4 linked regions of the Drosophila melanogaster genome follow. The protein of the gene in region 3 interacts with the protein of the main gene of each other region in a pairwise test. Each region holds a gene or a part of one and is shown on either strand. Other genes may lie near its edges.

Region 1 (6,292 bases), on a different chromosome or scaffold from region 3:
CATAATCAATGATGAGATTATTGAATACTACATAGTTATCTTTACAATGGACATAAAGCCTTAACTTCCATTCGAATTTTAAGAGTTAAGAGAGTCAAGCAAATCTAAGAATTTTATTTATTTTAATCGCAGCCTTTTGCAAACGTACAGACATCACCACACGTACATACATTTCAAAAACAGCAGGCAAGCCTTTTAGAAAGTGTATAAAGAAAAACACCCATCAAGAACAAGAACCAACAACTTACATGTTATCAAGTGACATAACGTAAATAACAAAAGCCAAACTACTACTACCTTCCCCCCAAAACAACAACAACTCCACTTATAAAACTGCAACAGCAACGCCGCTGTCCACGCCAGCGAGTTCGCCCTGTGGAACTAAATACCACACCTACTCCTCCATCTTCTTTGCCAACTTCCGGGAGCAGCAGCAGCAGGCGATGGAGGAGCGCGATCGTGAGCGGGAAAGGGAGCGGGATCGCCAGCGGCAGCTGAGCCTTCGCGTTGGCAATCGCCTTCGGGAGACGGCCATCAATTGCACCAGCAGCAACTCCAACACCACCGCCGGCCAGGGGGACAATAATAATGCGGATGGTCGCAGCGTCGACGGGGACGACCAGGATCTGGAGAACGGAAACGGATGTGCCGGCGGCAACGGAACAGGAACCGGTAATGGCAACCGAGCCTACGTGACCACGGACACATCGGGCACGCTTTACTACGGCACCCAGAGCAACAAGATACGCATCACAGAGAACCCACTGCCCGAGCCGGTCAGCTCTTAGATTGTTACTGCAGAGTCCACATAATCTCCAAAAGACACCTTGTTATTGTTGTTACCACACACTGAGAAAAAATAATGCAGCAGCAGCAGCCAAGTCAAGCCAAGCTTTCAGCCGTGCTCCAAGAGACACAAAGCCACAGAAACTCAAAGAATAAAAAATATTATGAAATACAAGCAACTCACACACCGCTAGGAAATGAATGCGAATGCAATAATTAACCACCAAATGAGAACCCATTGATTGATTGATTGATTGATTGGTTGATTGATTGATTGTGTTTCCCTATGGTTTTCGAGATGCGGAGAGATATTTGTAATTTACACTTTGTGCCTGAGCGTAACGTAACGAACATACACGTATATATATCAAGCCAGATCGGTTCAGATCAGCAACAGCAGTTTAGTTTTCTATGCCCAATTGATTACATTGTTTTTTTTTTTGGAGTGCAACACATATTTTATGACGAGCTTGCTTAGTTGTTGTAAACCGAACAATATACAAAATATATACATATGTGTATACAGATGACACAAGCAGAACAAAAACTAAAAACTAACGAGCATTTTCGCTTAATGTTAAAACCTAAAACGAATCCAACTGTTAACTTAATCCCAAAAAATAACAATGTAGCATATCAAATAAAAAACGAAAAATCTCTCAAAATTACGTATATACTTATACAAAACCCTAGATAAATCGTAGACAATTGCGAATTGCGAGTAACTTCAAACCAACATTCTGTTCACAATGAATGAGGAATAAATTCTAGACACAGGACACTGTCACAAAAACAGGATACACACACACACACGATATTGAATATAGAATACATACATATAATATATATAAATAATGACAACTTTTTGCAATAACTTCGAATTCAATTCAATAAAAGTTTTAGAAGCTTGAGTTCTATGTTTCCATTACTTCGGTTGCAGCATTTCGCTGATCCTGCGCAGGGTCTCCTCTCGATCTCGATGCATCAGTTCCGATACTTGTTCCAAAAATTGATGCTGCTGCTCGCGTTGCTGCCGCAAGAAGCTTTCGTTGGTAGTTTTGATCTGCGCAAGCAGCTGCTTTTGACCTTCTATGATTGCAGTGAGTGCTTCAATCGGCGTTGGTTCAGCCTCCATCTCGATGGCGTCCACGTAGTCCTCGCTATCGGCTGCCGCTCTTAGGAGATCGCAGGTGGAGCTGGAGTTGTCGCTGTCACTTTCCAGCGGAACGCTTGGTTTGCCTGGCGGCTTGAGAAAGGAAGGCTTGCTGATGCGAATGAGCCTGCTGATGGCACTTTCTCTGTTCTCCCGCGGCGCCTGAATCAGTTCATCGAAAAGCTCAAAGTGGCGAGGCAGAATGCGTACATTATCTAGCCCGTGCTCCTTGGCCTCTCGATGACGCTTGCAGAGCAGCCTTAGTTTATTGCGCAGCTGGTGTGGCGTGCGTTTGATGTCCTGCTTAGCCAGGATGTTGGAAATGTGCACCAGGGTCTGGAAGTTGCGCTTCCTTGAGCCATCCAAGGCGCGAAAGAAACCATTGTCCCGAATGATGAGTAGAAACGAATCAACCTCTTCGTCTGTCCAAAAGTGCGCTAAGGAACATAGGAATTTAATTAAATATGGAATAGGAACTAGCTATTATAATATCTACCTCCGCTTCTCTGTGATGCATCACCCTCTTCCTCGTCACTGTCATTGAAATCACTATCGCTTGCGCTGCTCAGATGGGCTTCCGCTTCAGCATCTGCGGCCGCCTCCTCTTCGGTGGGATCCAGGACCAGTCGCATCGCCTCAAAATGCTCGAACGTTTTCCCCGTGCCGTTCTTGACCTTGTTGTACAATCGCCGCAGCTGCTGGAACTTGATGCGCAGCTTCTCAGCACCCTTGTGGCAGTTGCGTTTTGCCATCTCCTTGGACAGCAGCTTGAAGACCTTGGCATTGCGCTTTTGCAGCAAAGCTGCTCGCAGTCCAAGTGTGTGGATCAGGTCTAGGAGGAGGTCCACTTCGCCCTCTGCCCACTTGCAGCGGGCGACGATGTTAACTGAAGATCCTGAGGCATCCAAAGCATCTGCGAAGGAAAGTCGCCTAAGTTCGTATTCCAATACATTCCTGCCCGGTGGCACCTACCGTCCCCTTCGGTTTCTGAGATCATGCCGGACTGGTCCTCGTCGGCCTCCATATCGCTGTCACTCTCTAGCGCCTCTTCATCCAGATCAGATACATCTTCTCCCTGCATCAACTCGTGCACCGCCTCAAAGTGCTCGAATGGTTCGCCGCCATTCCGAGCTCTCGCATACTGACGCCGCATCTGATGGAACTTGACTCTCAGATGCTTTGGACTCTTGGGGCAGTTCCGCCGGGCCATTTCTCTGGACACCATACGAAACACCTTTGCATTGCTTCGCGGCCTTCGAAGAGCAGCTTGCAGTTTAAGTTGGTGAATGATTTCCAGAAAGGTCTCCACCTTTGCGCTGGTCCACTTGCAGCGACTCGCTTTCCCAGAACTATTTTCCGACACCGAGTGACTCGCATTTCCCAGATCTGTTACGAAAAGTAAGGATTTGGTAACATCGAACCGGCTGAGGACGCTGCTTACCCACTCATAAGGTGTGCGTATTTCTGCTCCGTTTCGTGCTCGTCCTCATCGTTGCCATTGAAGAGCGAGAACTTGCTCATTTTCAAATGGTTATGCTTAAATCGCGCAATGAAATCAATAAATATATATTTATATTTGATCGGTTTTTTTTTAGCTTGATCAAATCATAACAATAACAAAACTGTCATCGATAGTAGGACGCGTTAAGCTACCTATCGTTATCGGCATCGATGCGGCCGTACCATACATTCTGCTCGAATGTATGTTTCATGTAAGGAATATGTATGTTAAATGTAGAAATAGCCTACAATCTGAAAAAAAAAACCAAAACCAACAAGAAACTATGATATTGATAGCCAAAATATATACGCTAAAACATTATATTGTTATTAAGCAACATATTTTGATCTCATTCAAAGTCGTCTGAATGGTTTTGAATAACATCCAATATCCAGTCCGTAAAGTGTGTGACATTGGTGTAAATTCCCAAGCCACTGCACAACCGAAGTCCTTGGCTAGCGACACCGAACTGGAAGACCCTTCCCTGCCCCTCAAATGTACGAATTGCGCTCAAAGGACCTCCCGAATCGCCTTTGCACGAATCACTGATATAACTGCCGGCACATATATAGGATATATCGAGAGGTCTTCCAGGTCTTTCACAACTCCATTGAGGTAATTGTTGCAGGGTGGCAGTCTGTAGCCTATCTTGCTCTTCTCCATCACTATTTGTACCCCATCCGGTGAAATTGAAGCGTAATATTGAGAGTGGGTTCCCACCCAACGTTTTGCCCAGAATCAAGCAGATTGGTCTGACATAGTCTATGGCGAACTTTAGTTAGTTACATATTTAGTTCCCAAGAAACTTTTGATAGCGAAATGCACTTACTTGAGAATATCACACTCCTTTGCATTCGCAACAGACCAATATCATATCCTGGATTACTATGAACAATTTTCCTATCCACGTCCACATTGTAGGCCCTTGGTGTGCAGACAAAATCATCGCAGTCGAATATGGGATGTCGGGTATCGTATTCGCCCAGGCGCACATTCCTTAAAAAAGGTCATTTTGAGGATCAAATGTGTAGTAATAGTATGGTATGCACTCACATATACATTGGGGAAATGCAATGCTCGGCGGTCAAAACAAATCCTAAATGAACATACAATGATAATTTGAGTATATATTTCTTATTATCAATTCCAAATACTTACGAGCAGTTATAAGTGAACCGCCACACACTGCTTTTCCCGAAATCATTACTCTGACCATCCAGGGATTCGATTCCATGCCAGCATCTCTACCTCCATCGATTCGCGCTCTATAACCATTACTGCTCGTGGTTCCACAGTCGTTTTCCAGTAAGCGTCCGGATTCCGTCCGGATAATCCCAATAAAAAGACAGGCTACTATCACAAGCTGCCGTATAGGTAGACGCATCTTGTTCAGAGACTAAATTCGAATGGCATCGGTTTCTATTTTTATGCTTGTTCTTCGGCAAACGGCAGAGATAAGAAGTGATTTATTCAGAAAAAATACTAATACAATTTTTACAATCGATTTGAATGTGACATCGTTTATTTTCAATTAATGACAAGATTTTTTTTTTTTAATTAAATCTCTTGAACTTTAATATATTTCGAACTTCGATGCGTTGCCCTGCCATTTTGTCGAATATTAATTAATTTTCATATACAATTCTGTTATACATTAGTTCTATATTCCTTATTATGTCTGTTATGTTACAAGTTTGGCCTACGAGCTTGGATAACCAAAAGGTAGTATGACCTGTAGGTTTGAATTGAACCATTTTATTAAATATCCATTCCCTGTGGTACGATACATTGGTGTAAACACCTGCCACATTAGCCGCGCACCTTTCGGATCCGTAGCTGACCAAGCCGTACTGGAAACTCAGAAGCCTGTTGCCATAATGAAATTTCGAGCTCAATGGGCCTCCAGAATCGCCCTTACAGGTGTTACTGGTATGACTGCCAGCACATATCTGCGATCGATCAGCCTGTTTGTTGAACTTAATGTTACAGTATGATATATCCATGTTATATAGAGTGGCATTCAGTAGGATCCGACTGAATTGACCATATTCTGTTTCACCCCAGCCGGTAACCGTAAACATTGGAATGCTTTGCATTTGCTCGCCGACAAGAAGGCAAATTGGCCTAACATAATCTATAACGAAAAACATAAAGCTTTAGTCATCCACGTGAGATAAAACCCCTCTATTTACCTGAGTACTCCACAGCTTCGGACATACGAAGCAATGCTATATCATTCTGGAGAGTGATGCCATTATAATTTTCGTGAACAATTTTCATATCCACACTAATGTTGTAGAACTTTGGTATACAGTGATTGTTAAGGCAGTATGGCATGGGATCTAGTGTTTCGTAATCACCCAAGCGCACATACAGATCTTCAAAGGATACGCAGTGCGCTGCTGTCAGGACGAATTCTTAAAAGAAAAATAAATAAATAATAAAAAAATAATAAAATAGTCGACTATCTCGATTATTTATTCATATGCTTTTCAGTTTTTGGGTACATGTAAGTTAAGATATATATATCGTGGACTATGAACTATATTATAAATCTAAATAAATATAAATATATTAATATATTAGTATAGAGTAAATAAAGAATAACCAATGTTTTAGTCAAATACATACGCCGTGCAATAAGAGAGCCGCCGCAGGGCTTACTCGACCAAACCAACACCATCCAAGGATTTTCTTGAATATTTGTTTTGGCTCCTCCAAAAATGTTCGGAACGTATGGATCGTCCTTTGATATTCCACAATTCTCAACCAGCAGGCGCGACATTACGTTATTGTTGGCAATAAATAGGCATACGAGTGCCGCGATTACCGCATTGATCACTTCCATGGTT
Region 2 (5,256 bases), on a different chromosome or scaffold from region 3:
TGAAGATGAGAGGGCTTTGCCTCACCACCCACCAGCAGGAAAGCCAATGCAAAGGCCTAAAAATATTTAGGTTACCTATTAATATCTTTGGTCAAAAGAACTTTGCAGTCCTTACCCATGTCAGTTGCCACATCTTGCTTGGGGGATTTGAAGTTCGGTTTCTTTGGGGCAGTAGCTTCTCGATCGATGTGCTCGACCTGTTGGTTCGGCTGCTAATGTCTTTGCATTGTCAAATTAAATTAATATTTATAGCGAATTGAAGGCGGTACGCAATCAAAAGACTTGCACTTGCATTTCTTCACTTTCGACGACGACTTGGCCCACTCACCTAACTTAATGGGTTGCATCATTTGGAGGGAGGCAACCCAATCCCATTTAGTTGGTCAGCAAGTCGTGACTGAGACGGCGACTGCGAATGGCACTGCCTTCGATCGAGGGGCCAATAACTTCTTGGGCGATTCGAAAGCACGGCCCATGATTATATAACATGGGGCCAACCAAGCCCAGGCATTGACAGTTGCCCATGAGTGGAATATGATTATGATAATCCATAAATATTGCTTTGACCATAAATAACAATCGATATTGCGCCTTAGGTGACAACGCAATCACAACAAATATTGTTTACATGGTGACCAAGTTGTCTGACTTTAACTTCCCTAAGTCCCTAACTTATGTATGTTGCTACTTTGTCAATATTATCTTTAAAATTCAATGCAGCTGTTAGAAAAAATTCCATTAAAAATTAAATGCAGACCTATAATTTATGCATAATTTGTATTAAATGATATCCACCAATAAACAAGCTTATTTTGCATATCAAAGAAATGAGTGAGAAACGAGAAATTCAGAGCATTAAATGGAAAGTTCTAAAGTTTCTAAAAAAAAATTAAATAACTTCCTCTATCTGAAATCTGGAAATATATGGATGCTTAATAAAACCACTTGCACAAAAGGAATCATCTAATCAAAAATTGATCATAGTTAAGTAAAGAAGTTATTTTATATTTTCTTAAGAAATATATATATATTGACCCAATCGAAATGAGCGTCCAATTGAATTTTCATGAACCAAAAATATCCGATAAATAATAGTACTTTCGTTTTTCGTTAATTATTCAAGGCATTTCTGCAAATAATAAGATGGTGCGCTCTAATTGTTGGTTCGTAATTTATTATCAGTTTTTTTTTTTGTTTATCAAAAATTTCCTATAGTTTGGCCTGCTTCACAGGTGTGTCCTTAGACCACCACTGGAGCTGGAGCAGCAGCGGCGATGGGAGCAGCATAGGATGCAGCGTAGGGAGCGGCGTAGGGAGATGCCAGGTAGGGTGCAGCGTAGGGCGAGGCATAGGGATAGGCGGAGTAGGCAGCGGCGGCATAGGGAGCAGCGGCCAGAGGAGCAGCAACGGGAGCAGCGGCCAGAGGAGCAGCGACGGGAGCAGCCAGAGGAGCAGAGTAGGCGGCGGCCAGAGGAGCAGCAGCGTACTTGGCCACCACGGCGGGGGCAGCTGGGATTCCGGACACATAGCGGCTGGAGTAGGGGCCGGCGAACTCGAACGGAGCGGTGGTGTAGGAGGACAGGGTGCCGTCGTAGTTGTTGCGGACATCCACCTGGCTGCTGCCACCTGCGGCGTACAGAGGAGCATTAGCGTAGGCCAGGGGAGCAGCCAGAGGAGCAGCCAGTGGAGCTACAACTCCTGGTTTGGCCGCAGAGCAGGCGATGAGGGCAGCGAGAACCAACTGGAAAATAGGATAGGTAATCATTAACCACCTCTTAGTCCACATTGTTTGGGCGCTAATCCCCATAGGATCACTTACAAACTTGTACATATTGCTGTGGTTGGGTTTGTCTAAAGCACTTGAGCGATAATGTTCATTTGGAGCCAGACCAGTGGCTTATATAGCTCGTGCCCATATCCGTGCTCTTTGGGGGACATTCTGTCTGAGCCGATTTTTGGTCGCTTCTTCATTAGCTGGCCCACCTGGTCGAGTGCCAAGTAGCATACATGATCGCCATTTGGCCAAGACGTGCTCCGCCTTCAATTGCCCAATGGACTGTCGGAAGTTGTCCAAGTTGTCGCTTGAATATTTCGGTTGCACTTGGAAAAATATTTGAGCTTTGGTAAATATTATAAGAAAAGATATGATATAATTCTGATTTCAATGTATAAATATTTTATTTAAAATTTTTAACCTTAACTATTTAGTGCAGTGTATTTACATGCAGAGGTAAACTTTTTGTATAGCATACCAAGTTATAGTCTTTATAAAAATTTTTCCAAGTGCAGTGATCGACATTTGTATGCAATTGAAGACTGACTCGGTGGCCGGGCTGTCTTGTCGTAATTTGCAGTCTGTTTGGGCCATCAATGTGCGCCGCTTCGCATTGAATTGGCCGCAATCTAAGTCAAATTGGCCATAAAAATGGTACCCCTTCCTCAAAGGCCACGATTCCGGCCCACTAAGTGTCTCATTAGTTCACTTTTTAATGGCTTGCAGAGACGCCAATAAAAGGCGGTCGTAAATTTCCCTCTCATCCTAGCCGACGGGTCTTCATTTGTTTTCGTGTTGACCTGACCTTGACGCCACCTGGCCACAGGATGTGATGCACCCTCATCCTCATCCAGTGGGTCTCATCAATTCGCTTCAGCTTAATTGGCCAACAAGGCGCGGGGCCGAATGATCGAGCAGTCGAAACCTGCTTGCTAGCTGACTTAATGAGCCATCTCTCTCGGTCTCTCTCGGTCACGTGCTGGCCTGGTCAGCAGCATCGTCGTCATCTGATGGCTTGGTGTCTGCGATTTGCATTGTTTTACTCTTTATGATCGGGTACTTTTGCTACTTATGAATGTTTGTAAATTAGCATATTTTAGTGTCAATGACTTGGTAGAACAACCCATTAGGAGCATGATTTCAAAGAGCGAGTTTATGAAAAATCGAAGTTTTTCTGTAGTACAGTCACAAAATATTATACTCATACCGCTTACTAACAAATCGTATAGAGTATCTAAATGGTCGTTATTTTATAGCTGCTTCTGAAATCCGATACGATGATGACGCCGGTCTCAAGGTTGTCGCGATGACGAGTCGAGAGGGCGATATATATATATGTATATAAATGATATCTGGTGATCAAGTTGCCCCACGCATGTAACTGTATACTTTTCCATATATTCTGTATTCTGTATCCGCATTGTGGCCACTTTTGATCGGATTGATCCAATCTTGGCAGCAACCACAGCTAGTACATTCCAACTCCAAGGGTGACCTCTTCTCGTTCACTTGTTCACAATTTCTGGACAGGAATTCTCAACCGATGACGCGCCAATTTTCCGGTGACTCAAGCACGGAAATGAGTACATCTTTAACCATCTTCATCTTCATCTTCATAGACCATCGCCATCAACTTCTTGTCTTCAGCACTCCACTTCACAGCTGTGCGATCCGCTCACTTCCTAGTTAACCTTTTAAATTTATTTGCAATCTGATTTAGAGGCTCATCAGAAGCTTTATCCCTCTTAGGAATTGTTTGGCTGTCGTCAGTACCGTTTGCTTTAATTGATTTTTAAGCCCCAAATTTATGCAGACCATATTTCTAATTCCCGTTTTTGTTTTCGCGGGAAGCAGGTTCTATACGGCAGGCATAAATATGTCTAGATATATAGATAGATCCAGATCCCAGTTCCCAGTTCCGTTCCCAGATCTGATCAATGACACTTGACTTTAATTGGCTTTCATAAATATACGTCAAAAGTTAGTCGTTGTCTCGATTTCTTTTGTTTTCACAAGAGAATTCCGAATGCCAATGCCAAGTTTGAGGTCTCATTATGAGGCGCGGATGGAGATGGAGATCTCTTGGCCCGATTTGTGTGTATGTAAATAGCAACCATTAACCCATCGTAGGAGAGTGAAAGGTGTAAATCCAATGGACGAAGACCTCTTTTTTTTTTGTGTGTGCCCGCGTATTAACCTTCAAAACATTATGCAAATGCAGTCTCCATCGATGGCAATGAGACTAAAAATGGCCAATAAAAAGAGACTCAACCGAAAGGCTAAGCTTAGATGGCAAGTTTATTATCAATGTGTATTCACTAAGAGCAGAAGTCATCGCAGTTTGATGATCAGTCGGGATGGCTCTGGCTCTATTAAATGTATTGCTATTGCTATTCTATGGGCTAGGATTGCTGGACTAGCGCCTCTGGATCTGCGGTGTTCCATAGGAGGTTAGCCCCGTGGTTCTGGGCACACTGGCATATGGTGCCCCAGCCTGCAGCGGAAGTTGCGCCACATTCAGTGGAGCAATGCCAAAGGGCACTGGCAGCTTGAGATTCAGCGAGTTGGCATCCACGGAAGCGGAGGATATGGAACGACCTGTGGCCGATCCCGCAGCAGATGATACTCTGGCCACCTGCTGGGGCTGTGGTGCCGGGGGAGCCACCTGGAGGGCAGACGACGGTGCTCCAAATACGTAACCCTGGCTGGTCAGAGCCTGGGTGAAGGCGGCATGCTCCAAGGCGGGCTCGGCAAACTGTCGTGCCACTTGGGGATACTGCTGGTTCTGTTGGTACTGGTTCCTCTGGCTCCGCTGCACGGCTGGCCTGTTGGGAGCGGGATAGTGATAGTAACCCAGCTGGGTGCTGGGTGCTATCGAGTAATCCAGGTGTGAGACATCGGCCAGAGCCAAGCTCATGAGTTGCAGCAGAGTAATCCATACACAAGTCAACTGAAAGTGATTTGATAGGGTTAAACCTTGATAGCTCTTCACACACTAGATATTGCTCTCACATTGGGCGCCATTTCACTTCACTTTTCTTTGGGTTCCAGTTCTTGGGGTAAATGCAGTTTAAAGGCCAATATTTTTGCCGAATCTTATAATCGTTGATGTGCGCTGGCGCAGCTTTGGCAGCTGATTAAAATTTGTGAGCCAGCTGAAGATGCTTTTTATATGCGTATGGAGGAGCTGCGATCGGTTCTCAGACCCCTCTCTCTCTCTCTCTCTCTCATTCTCTCTCTCTCTGTCCCACTCTGTTCAGGTCTTCTTTTGGCTCTTGGTGAACGGCTTTGGGCCAACACTTTGAGTGCAGGCCAAGACGAAGCTTTTTTGGCATTTGTAGCTGCCTTTGTTTATTTACTTTGTTTATTTCTGGTGGCTTAACAAAGCGGTTGCCGGACAGTTTCATCTATTGATAATATTGATATTTGGCTGCCTTGCATATAAATCAATGTTGGTCATTTTTATTGGCATCCAAGCTATG
Region 3 (5,739 bases):
TCTCGGACGGCTAAATATACTTACATCCTCTACAAGGTTATCTGCAATACCCGGCCAGAAGACCACGATTAGTATTCCCAGCAAAAGGAAAACCGATCCCAAGCCGAAGACCCAGACCTTTCGTTGAGTTTCCCCGCAGCACTTGCAGCACATGGTGGATACGTAGGATTCCAAAGGTTCACGCTTTTAAGGAATAGCCAAGGTGGGAATAATCCAGCCCTAGGCAGTTAGTTGCATCTGGAAGTGAAGACAGTTTGTGGGGTTATTTTTCCTTGTATAATCAATGTCCATAATCCGTATCGAATTTTTATTAGTTTATTTCCCGGTACACCCATCCTGGCACCCTGCAGAGTTGGTAATTTTGAAAATAATAAGACCAAGGCTTATCGCCGGCTGGTCCCTGCTTAAGTATTCGATAAGCATCGGCGATTATAAGTGTATATTTTTGAATATATTTTGCAGTCCATGACAGTTGGAGAAGATTACGTGGGACAGCCCACTTATCCGCACAGTCAACTTCAAGTGCAGACATCCGCAGATCTATTCAGTTTTCTAGCACTTGCCACTGTTTAGGTCGCCTAAACTTACTAGTTTTCAATCAAAGGGGATCGAAAATATTCCGGCCTTAGCACAATCGGAACTATCAAAACCGTACGCGTCCCCTGGCAGGGCGAAACTGGTGGCCAGCGGTCTACTGTGTGTCTTTTAATGGGTTCACTTGACGTTCAATTACCACTCGGTTCGTTTATTAATCTCTGGACTTTGCTAGTCGGGAATATTTGCTTGATTGGCATTAACTTGGATGCGTTTGGAGAAACACAAAAAAGAGATCACTCTACTCGAATTCCTCGACTTTCAGTTACTCGTAACTCAGGTAGCTGGCTGCCACAAAATTTTAATATTTTGGTATTCAGAGTGGGTATGTTGCAAATATTTGTAGCATAGCGATAGAAATGAAAATCTTATCTTTCTAACATTTATAGTTCGCGAGATCAAAGCGTTCATGCGAAGGCGGATGGCTAGATCGACTCGGGTGGTTATTCTGATCGAGTGAGTAGGTTTTATGGCAGATTGATTTACAATAGTTAAAATTCCTTTTAATATTATAAACATTTATAATTATGGTAATTTCATGCCTAGATGTTATTTATGTCCATGCTTGTCTGCAATTCAAATTCATTCAAGTCTAAGATAGTGTTTAGTATCGTTATCTGGGTAATACCCGCATTTCTCGGCTATTTGCTTCTGTGGTTGGTTGGTCAAGATGTTCTCACAAGGGGTTCCTATTTATGGCACTGATAAGATTAGCTTTGTGGAGATACTGATAATTCGGTCGAAATATGCTTTACTATACCATATCAGCCTTGATCCGTCCTGTAATCCAAAGTTCTTTTAATGCAATAGGAACGGGGCCTGTTTTTATCGTAAGTCTGGTGCATATCGTATTGCAATTTCGATTCCCTGCTTTGTTTCCTCCCGTCGACTGACTCAGTCTTGTTTTTGTCGGATTATTGGGCTGGCTCTATACTACAATGAATATTTCTTTGTTTAACGACTGATAACAGGCAAAAAAGGGGGTCTGGAACTACAGTAGAGCCTTTTGAGCTTGTACGAGTCCCAGTAGGATAACTCGAGAATTCATGTTAACTGTTTAAGGCGAATTAATATTAATAATAATTGATTAATATTAAATGGTTTTTAAAATAGTTTGTTGTAAACTGCATTGTGTATGCACTATATATGTTTACTGCATGTTGTCTCTCTTTTGAGGGCGATAGCTTGCATCCCGTGAAATGTTTGCTTTCTGGTTGAACTTAAACCTCGATCAACTTGCGCTTAAAGTGTTGACATCACCAGTTGCGAATTAGGCGTACAGTTATATTCACGTATTATTGCACATTACCGGCTGCATAATTAAAGTGATGAATTACTCACCTTTTATCTCACACACAACTACGTCTTTTAGCATTAGCTTCTGATGGCTCTGTTATTGTTTTGCTTTGGCCTTGACATTTATTATGCCATAGTTCGGAGTAAATTTATTTTTCTGGGACTTCCCGCTTCGATGATCGCTTAGTCCCTTTACCTTTGGTGCCTGGAATCGCAAAAGTACCGTACGAAAGGGATTCAAATTGTCAGACTTCCCTTCTTATTACTTTTACAGCTAAACTCAAGCGTGGGAAGCGCCTTTGGAATTGATCTGAAAGCTGCTATCCAACTAAAAAAAAGGCACTTTCGCGTTGCCGAAGAGGGCAAGCAGAGAAAGATAAACTGCAAACTTGCAGTTTGCTGGGCTAAATTGGATTAAACAATTTATTTCTTTATCTTCGCTGGGCGAGTGTGACCAGAAGCGTTTATATGCGCTGTAACAGCACTGTAAGCAACGTTGCCACAGTTTTTGGATTGACTGTAATGCGAAACAGCTGTTCTGTTAGAGAAGTGGTGACAACCCTAACGACAGTGCCAACCAATCAGCGCAGACCACGACTCACACACACAAACAAAGCTGCCAGCGGCGACAACTACAATTTTTTTACACTTTTGCCAGCATTTAAAATCGTATTTCGAATCAGCTGGTTAAAAAGAATGAATTGCTGAATCAAACAGGATCAAAAACGAAATGCAGCTTATCAAGTGCTTGGTTATAATTCAGCTGTCCCTCTTGCTGGTGGAGGAGTCATTTGCCGGCCGGGACTTCTACAAAATACTGAACGTAAAGAAAAACGCCAACACGAACGAAGTGAAGAAGGCGTATCGCCGTTTGGCCAAGGAGCTGCATCCGGATAAGAACAAGGACGACCCGGATGCCTCCACAAAGTTCCAGGACCTGGGAGCGGCCTACGAAGTCCTCTCCAATCCGGACAAACGGAAGACCTACGACCGCTGCGGCGAGGAATGCCTCAAGAAGGAGGGCATGATGGATCACGGTGGTGATCCGTTCTCTAGCTTCTTTGGGGACTTCGGCTTTCACTTCGGTGGTGATGGCCAGCAGCAAGATGCTCCGCGAGGCGCCGATATCGTAATGGACTTGTACGTTTCCCTGGAGGAGCTATACTCCGGAAACTTTGTGGAAATTGTGAGGAACAAGCCTGTAACGAAACCCGCCTCAGGCACCAGGAAATGCAACTGCCGCCAGGAGATGGTCACCCGGAACCTTGGACCCGGGCGCTTCCAGATGATCCAACAGACGGTGTGCGACGAGTGTCCCAACGTGAAGCTAGTCAACGAGGAGCGCACATTGGAGATCGAGGTGGAACAGGGCATGGTCGACGGCCAAGAGACGAGGTTCGTGGCCGAGGGGGAGCCACATATCGATGGGGAGCCCGGCGACCTCATTGTGCGGGTTCAACAAATGCCGCATCCGCGATTCCTGCGCAAGAATGATGATCTGTACACGAACGTGACCATCAGTCTGCAGGATGCCCTTGTCGGCTTCTCCATGGAGATCAAGCACCTTGATGGACACCTGGTGCCCGTCACGAGAGAGAAGGTAACGTGGCCCGGCGCTAGAATCCGCAAGAAGGGCGAGGGCATGCCCAACTTTGAGAACAACAACCTCACCGGCAACCTGTACATCACCTTCGATGTGGAGTTCCCCAAGAAGGATCTTACGGAGGAGGACAAGGAAGGTTAGCATATACATTATCACAAGAGTAATTGTTTCATTAATAAACGTTTCTAATTCTAGCGCTCAAGAAAATACTCGACCAATCCTCCATCAATCGCATATACAATGGACTGTGAATACCCATGTTTCATCCCCAATAAAAGTGCTCGCCGGCTGTACTCTAGTTTTTAAATGCCTAACTAACAGGGCGACTTTGATTTGGGAACGCCCCTAATTCAAGAGATGACTTTGTTCAAAAAAGTTGTGCGAAAACAATTTAATTTTAGTTTAGAATTTTGTAAAATAGCAAAAGTGTAATGAGAGGGAACTATTAAGGCGGTTCCTGCCGACAAAAAGGAATTGCAACAAAAACCAACCCCCACAAAATAAAGCGGATTTAAATTATATACAACTTTGCGGAAGCTACTATTTTTGATTTACTGTTTTTAAAAGGGATTTTTTGATTGTCTCAGAAATAATTTAATTTGAAAACTATTATATTAAGACAATCGATAGGCTGCATTATTGCAACCTTGGCTCAGCTGTCGATAACTGGCGCAGGAATCCGCAAGAAGGGCGAGGGCATGCCCAACTTTGAGAACAACAACCTCACCGGCAACCTGTACATCACCTTCGATGTGGAGTTCCCCAAGAAGGATCTTACGGAGGAGGACAAGGAAGGTTAGCATATACATTATCACAAGAGTAATTGTTTCATTAATAAACGTTTCTAATTCTAGCGCTCAAGAAAATACTCGACCAATCCTCCATCAATCGCATATACAATGGACTGTGAATACCCATGTTTCATCCCCAATAAAAGTGCTCGCCGGCTGTACTCTAGTTTTTAAATGCCTAACTAACAGGGCGACTTTGATTTGGGAACGCCCCTAATTCAAGAGATGACTTTGTTCAAAAAAGTTGTGCGAAAACAATTTAATTTTAGTTTAGAATTTTGTAAAATAGCAAAAGTGTAATGAGAGGGAACTATTAAGGCGGTTCCTGCCGACAAAAAGGAATTGCAACAAAAACCAACCCCCACAAAATAAAGCGGATTTAAATTATATACAACTTTGCGGAAGCTACTATTTTTGATTTACTGTTTTTAAAAGGGATTTTTTGATTGTCTCAGAAATAATTTAATTTGAAAACTATTATATTAAGACAATCGATAGGCTGCATTATTGCAACCTTGGCTCAGCTGTCGATAACTGGCGCAGGACAACGTTCTAACGGGAGTAAAACCGAGAGCGAACAATCGGGAGAGCGTTACAGGAAGTAGCGAATTCACATTAGAGAGCGAAGAAATTTGTACCAGTGCGGACGTGGACAAGCTCGATCCAGCTTTATTATTTATTTTATCAGAAAGCAGAACCCACAACCGAAAAAACCAGTCATTGGCAAGGCTAAAAGATATTATTGCCTACCATCCTTTACTTCATACCTCGCATTGGAAAGTGAAGTTGAGTTGGAAAAGGAGAACTAGAAAAAGGATTTCTAGACCGAAAAAACAAGACACCAACAGCACAACGACCATAAATACATAGTATGAATGTCGCCTAAATATCATAATTTCGAGGTGAGTCGCGAGCAACTCCTCCGAGCAGTCTTTTCAGTTCCCGTCCCACGGATTTCGTGTTCCGCGAAGACGCAACTGCCCACCCCTTTCATTCAGTTTTTTCGCTATCGATTTTCTGCGAGGGTCTCCCTTCAACTTTAAGTGACCCAAAAAAGAAAGGGAGGGTGGTTTTAGGTCAGCCGGCAAAGTTGCGTGCTGGGCTACGTTGTATGTTCTGGTTTCATGCCAAATCTAGAGACCCAATTAAAACACTTTCAGATTGCACTGGTCTACTTTCTGCTGCTAATACCATGGCCACCCACGAATGTGATCAGAATCCTCTGCTCGCGAGATAACAGCCGACTGGTGCGCAAAATAGTGCGCTCCAAATGGACTCCCATTCTGGACAAGCATCAGGTAAGTCCACTACATCGGAGTTCCCTCGATTCAAACCTGCCTTACCGAGACAAATCAACTTAAAGGTGAAGCTGCCGCTGGAGTGCCCGCTCCATCCGTTCCGGGATGTCTTTGCCCCCCGCCAGGATGCCAAGCAGAGGGATCGACCTACTCAGTG
Region 4 (5,267 bases), on a different chromosome or scaffold from region 3:
TCTACTATTAATTATTATTTCTCAATCTTTTGGCGGCAACAAAAGTTCTTGATAGTATTTAAAAAGAAAGTCACCTAAACATATACGTTTTTTATAATTAATATTTTTTTACTGTCACCTTTTCTAAACCTTTTGTTCTGGCAGCGTCTGTTCTGCCCACTTAAAATGCGGAAATGTAGCCCGAAAAAATACCAATTCAGTTGCGTCATCATCCATTGACAAATCACAGATGGCAAAAGTGATAGATTTCTCGAAATGTATAGGTAACCGGCATCTCTGGTAGGAGAATCACGTGTTGGCCATTTAAAAATTGCCGACTGAAAGTTGCGTCAACCCGAATAAATAATTATGCATGTGCGTGTCTAAAAATATATTTCTGGCTTAAAGCGGGCAATAACGAGTAAAATAGCAACCATAACAGGGAAAGGATTCAACAGGAGGGACAACAGTGTCCTTTGACCACCTTATGGCCAGTGGGAGGACGCTCCCCTAGGCAGCCACTATGTGGACGGGAATGGAGTTGCTGTAGCGTCCGAATGGCAGCCACGCAGCTGGGTAGAACAAAGGATAGCTCGGCGGCGGTGCAGAGCCCACAAGTGGTGGTGGCCCCAGTGGTGGTGGGGGAACAGCAGCTCCAGCTGCCTGGCGGGGCGGTGGTGGAGCAGCCCGATGGGCAGGCGGCACATCGATCTCCTCGGCAGCATCCTGGATCTGACCCGCGGCCGCCAGGTGGATCAGAAGGAGGAGCACCACCTGAAATGGCCACCGATGGCGAGGCCTCATCATCTTTGAGCAAGTGCATCGACTTCTCGGCGGATAACCGCTTGAGACTTACTAATTTCCTGTACATAGCTAATCCGAGCTGATAAGATCTGATAGCTCAACGTTCTGAAAACGAAATAAACATGACTGGAGCGACAGAACCCAGCTTTATAAATTTCTGAACCCAACCCGGCAGTTTTTGTGGGTCATTTCCAGACTTGCCGATGGATGGATCAATATCCAGCTACGTTTTAGTATGCAAAACACGGACTCACATTCGATTTGTTTTTCGCTTTTCGTCACGCTTTTAAAAATACCAAACGAAACCAAAAGTGCAAAGCCATAATGCTCAAGATTCTCCTTGGCTGGCTTCAAAATGGACTTGGAACCGATCTGGGAATGGATGTGCATACCAATGGCCACGCATCACCTTCGCTTCAATGTGGGGAATTGGAATGGAATTTTCTCGACCGATTCTGCTATATATACCCGAGTACTCGGGCACTAGGAGATATCAGTCTAGTACTTGAGAACCAACAGTTCACAACCAACCCAAACAGCCAACATGTTCAAATACGTAAGGATCGCAGGATAGCTGGACTTGCCACCAAACAACGGATTACTCATAAGCACTTTTCCTATCCTTTCAGTTCGCTCTGTGCCTGTTCGCCATCGTGGCCTGCGTCTCTGCCAAGCCGGCGGTGCTCGCTTCTCCTCTGGCCTACAGCGCCTACTCCGCTCCCTATGTGGCAGCTGCTCCTTACTCGGCTGCCTACACCGCGGCATACACCGCTCCAGTGGCCGCCGCCTACTCCGCCTACACGTACCCCTATGCGTCCGCCTACTCCGCCTACCCCTATGCCGCCTACTACCGTTAAGACTGGATGAATGGATCGTGATCTTAACCTGACTGCTGAACTGGACCTGAATATAAACATATACACATCTATTGCAACAAGGATACACACCTTCCTGCTAACCACCTGCAACATCCAATCTTCTTACATCCCTGGTGTTAGTTCGACAGACTCTACATTTCCCCACCTCTGCCGACTGCTGAAAGTTAAGTCATGGGAACAGGACATACCACTTCAAGAAAGGGAATATTTTTGTTGAAATAAATACTGCATTTTGCGTAAAACGTATACCACTTGTTCATAATTTATTGCATCACTTATTCATCTCTAATGTGAAGGGAGTATGTATAATCACATACTTTTAGGCAGTACTCTTTTGCAATGGGTACTAAGTACTAAATTTGGTATACATTAAAATCCAATGGAAATATTATTTATAAAGTAGGTGATATCATATTTTCAGTAAATATTTCTCACACTAGTTTCATAAATTGCTAGCCCCTACATTTTTTAATTTTGGTGGGCTGGAAGGAATCAATGACTTTTTTAAGCTTTGTATCAATAAATTGCTTTGATACATTGGAAATTATTTTTTGGACTTAAAACCTATTATTTGTTAAAAAAAAAGGAAGTGTAAAGGAGGTTGTGTTCTTCGTGGTGGAATGTCCATGTTTGCATTGGATTAATAGGGTCAACGAGACCTCCGGTTTATTGAACTCGCGATTCCATTTATGCAAAGCTTTCGATTCCCTGTTTCTGGTGTCCTCAACCTTAAGCCAAGGGCTCAACTCGATGACGTCCTTCGAAACTGGATAAACCGCTTCTATTTTTACTTGCATCTCTGATTAGAATGCAAAGTGGCGTGTTCGAGTGGCTGACAATTGAAACGTACAGAGTGAGCCGAACTCCGGAGATGGCCAAGACGGTTGGAATGACACGCACGTTCACAGCCCACAAAACGCACTGAGTGCTAAATTATGATAATTCAATCGGCAAACGACAGCTGCTGACGCCAGTTGCGGAAATGCTCAAGATGAGCGGGAAAAAACATTCATTTTCAATAATAAATTCACAAGGAATGCGTACTATTCGCAGGCATATCGACAAACACAAATCTGCAACATTATAATTGTGCCAGTAAAAAGAGACCAAATGTTTGGCCCTGTTTTAGCCCTGGTACGTGATGGAAATGCTTTAAACTTGCTGGGTTTTTGCTTTTTCAATGGGCTTTGTCAAGGATGCTATGTATATTTACCTATATAAACCACTTCGAACTCAGCACAAGACATCAATCAGAAGTCTAACTTCGACGCTAACACAACCAAATCAATTAAAATGATGAAATTCGTAAGTTTCCAACATTTTTTTAAGGATACAATGTTTCAAAAATGCAACAATTCACAATCCTAAATACAAACAAAAACGCGTGTGTTCGAAATAAAACTATTATCAAACAGTGTAGATTTTTCAAACAATTTTTTATATTTATAAAACTTCTTGTAAATGTGTATTTTAATGTACTTTTTGTATGCATTTTATCCTGCAGTTTGCCGTTGTCCTGTGCGCCCTGTTCGCCGCCGCTGCTGCCAATCCTGGTCTGCTGGCCTACAATGCCCCTCTGGCCTACTCCACTCCACTGGCGTACAGCTCCCTGCCCGCTGCCGCACCCCTCGCCTACACCGCCGCCTACACCCCTGCCTACGCCCCCTACGTGGCCCCCTATGCCAGTAGCTACAGTGCCCACAGTGTGGCCCACAGCGCCGCCCTGCCAGCCGTTTATGCCGCCGCCCCTGTGGCCACCATCCTCAAGAAGTAAGATGTCCCAGGATGGCAAAGGGATTCCGCAAGGCTGCCGCACGTGTCCACCGGACGTCGTCACTGCCACGGCGAAAGATACAGATACAAACAGAGATGGAGATACATGCTCGCAGGCAAACAGAAATTAAAACGCAATGCATCAGGCCCACGCACTGACCGACTGAGAAGTGAATCGAGTTTTATTCCTTCCGTTTAATTTTAATCTTGCCGTGGGCATCGGGACTTTTCTTCAAAGGAAACAGATAGTGCAGGTTGCTCTTGGGAAGCGCCGTCTTATTGCAATAGATACCTGGATGGGAAGTATATATATATAGCTTTAGTTTGTGGTATTACATAGAATTATAAGTTCAAGATAAGGGATTTCATTTGAATTATTAACGAGTGCTGCAAGCTTTAATTTTTAACATTTGCAATGGTCACCAGAGCACTTTAAACTATTATATGATGAGAAGAATGAATTCGTTTAAGGTTAAATCAGGCCACCATTTTCATTAGACAGCTCCCATATGACAGAGTGCCCTCCAAGGGTGTGCCCAACTCTGGCCTGTTTGTGCGCCCACTTTGGTTCATCGACACTTCGCCACGTTCCAGGACGCAATCCTTGAGCTTTGTTTACGCAGTTCGCACCCCCTTAGCCCTGATACCCCCCTGACCCTTCGAGGTCTATGTGGCCAGCTCGCGGCACATTGTTTATCACTTTGATTGCAAGTTGCGTGTGTGTTGGCTTAGAGGTCAATGCATTTCCATCGCCACTGCGAATATGGTACTACATTGAGGGGCGCCGCTTAAATTGCATTTTGCTAATCACCCGCCATCGATAAGTTGAACGAAGCCACGCCTCAAACGAACCCACCACGCCAACTCTGGCATTAATCATACGCCGCGTGCAACCGTCGAAAAGTATGAAAATCAAATCAAGCGAACGACATTTAACTAAGAAACAACATTTTGCAAATTAATTCAAGTCTTTGAGTTGCTGATTCTCAATTCTCCTCGATGCTTTCAACGCTTTTTATAGCCCTGTAAAAGCTGAAAAACGCCTCATTCTGCACGTGCAGTTGCACTTCTTGCAGCTAATTTACTTGTTTTGTGGCTGTAGTCGGAAAATTAAATTAAAATTTAACGCTGCCTTTTGTCTCGATGGTCACGCCCCATTAATCAGCTGCCCCCTCGCGAAACATGCGGCGATTTATAATTGCCGAAGCCCCAGAAGTTGCACTTAAACGTTCCGTTTCCCAGGCTTTACTGGAGTGGGTACTCTATGAAAGAGTTTGGGGGTGGGGTGTGTAAGCTTAAATTAACATAAGTTAAATATTGTCAAATAGTCTAATTTAATGCTTAAATGTTGTACTTTAGGTAAGTGTGTTTATAAAATTAGTTTCAAATGCTCTCTTGTCGTAGTATTCAGTTAAGGTAAGTCTATACCGTGTCTGAATTGAGGATATCAAAATATTTGTTTTCTAACTTTATAAGTAAGTATAAATATATATGGTTTTTGGATGCAACTCAGTTCTTAATGTATAGCTGTATCGTATCTCTATGTAATCTAGCTAATACTGGACGCTCTTTTCAAATTGAATATGATATCCAACCTACCTCCAATTAGCAGTACGCGTATTAACTTGGCCAACAAGGGGACTTCTAGGCCCATGTGCTATAATTACCCCCCGCTGTTCGGTGACTGCTTAGGCGATTACAACAATCTTGTCTAATTGACAGTTGTACACTGTCATTCGAGAGCATTGGAACGATAATGGGGGGGCTGCGTCGATTAGAACTTGCTGCGATCAATTTGCGGAGACATCAATAAGAAGCCAAACCCGATTTAAA

What was found.
Region 1: the proteins of shv (region 3) and CG10494 interact in a two-hybrid assay, tested with the Drosophila melanogaster proteins (one large-scale study listed by BioGRID).
Region 2: the proteins of shv (region 3) and CG13047 interact in a two-hybrid assay, tested with the Drosophila melanogaster proteins (one large-scale study listed by BioGRID).
Region 4: the proteins of shv (region 3) and CG13066 interact in a two-hybrid assay, tested with the Drosophila melanogaster proteins (one large-scale study listed by BioGRID).

The regions. Positions count from the first base shown.
Region 1 is NT_033778.4:21,515,546-21,521,837, forward strand, and holds CG10494 (uncharacterized protein), read right to left. Parts: upstream 3,581-6,292; 5' UTR 3,461-3,580; coding exon 3,385-3,460; exon of another isoform or gene 3,381-3,384; intron 3,326-3,380; coding exon 2,912-3,325; intron 2,853-2,911; coding exon 2,436-2,852; intron 2,377-2,435; coding exon 1,712-2,376; 3' UTR 1,610-1,711; downstream 1-1,609. Other genes in the region: MESK2 (misexpression suppressor of KSR 2), read left to right, coding at 343-788; CG30288 (uncharacterized protein), read right to left, coding at 3,790-4,202, 4,270-4,436, 4,494-4,536, 4,599-4,824; CG30289 (uncharacterized protein), read right to left, coding at 5,066-5,574, 5,633-5,857, 6,072-6,288.
Region 2 is NT_037436.4:16,283,525-16,288,780, forward strand, and holds CG13047 (uncharacterized protein), read right to left. Parts: upstream 1,873-5,256; 5' UTR 1,832-1,872; coding exon 1,820-1,831; intron 1,742-1,819; coding exon 1,241-1,741; 3' UTR 1,156-1,240; downstream 1-1,155. Other genes in the region: CG13048 (uncharacterized protein), read right to left, coding at 1-56, 116-133; CG13046 (uncharacterized protein), read right to left, coding at 4,191-4,724, 4,787-4,798.
Region 3 is NT_033779.5:450,642-456,380, forward strand, and holds shv (shriveled), read left to right. Parts: upstream 1-2,466; 5' UTR 2,467-2,620; coding exon 2,621-3,629; intron 3,630-3,688; coding exon 3,689-3,744; 3' UTR 3,745-4,013; downstream 4,014-5,739. Other genes in the region: crq (croquemort), read right to left, coding at 25-153; CG4133 (uncharacterized protein), read left to right, coding at 5,160-5,186, 5,445-5,582, 5,648-5,739. UniProt on the Drosophila melanogaster protein: Maintains stem cell niche architecture in the testes.
Region 4 is NT_037436.4:16,270,013-16,275,279, forward strand, and holds CG13066 (uncharacterized protein), read left to right. Parts: upstream 1-2,896; 5' UTR 2,897-2,954; coding exon 2,955-2,966; intron 2,967-3,165; coding exon 3,166-3,435; 3' UTR 3,436-3,596; downstream 3,597-5,267. Other genes in the region: CG34248 (uncharacterized protein), read right to left, coding at 490-786; CG13067 (uncharacterized protein), read left to right, coding at 1,328-1,339, 1,413-1,640.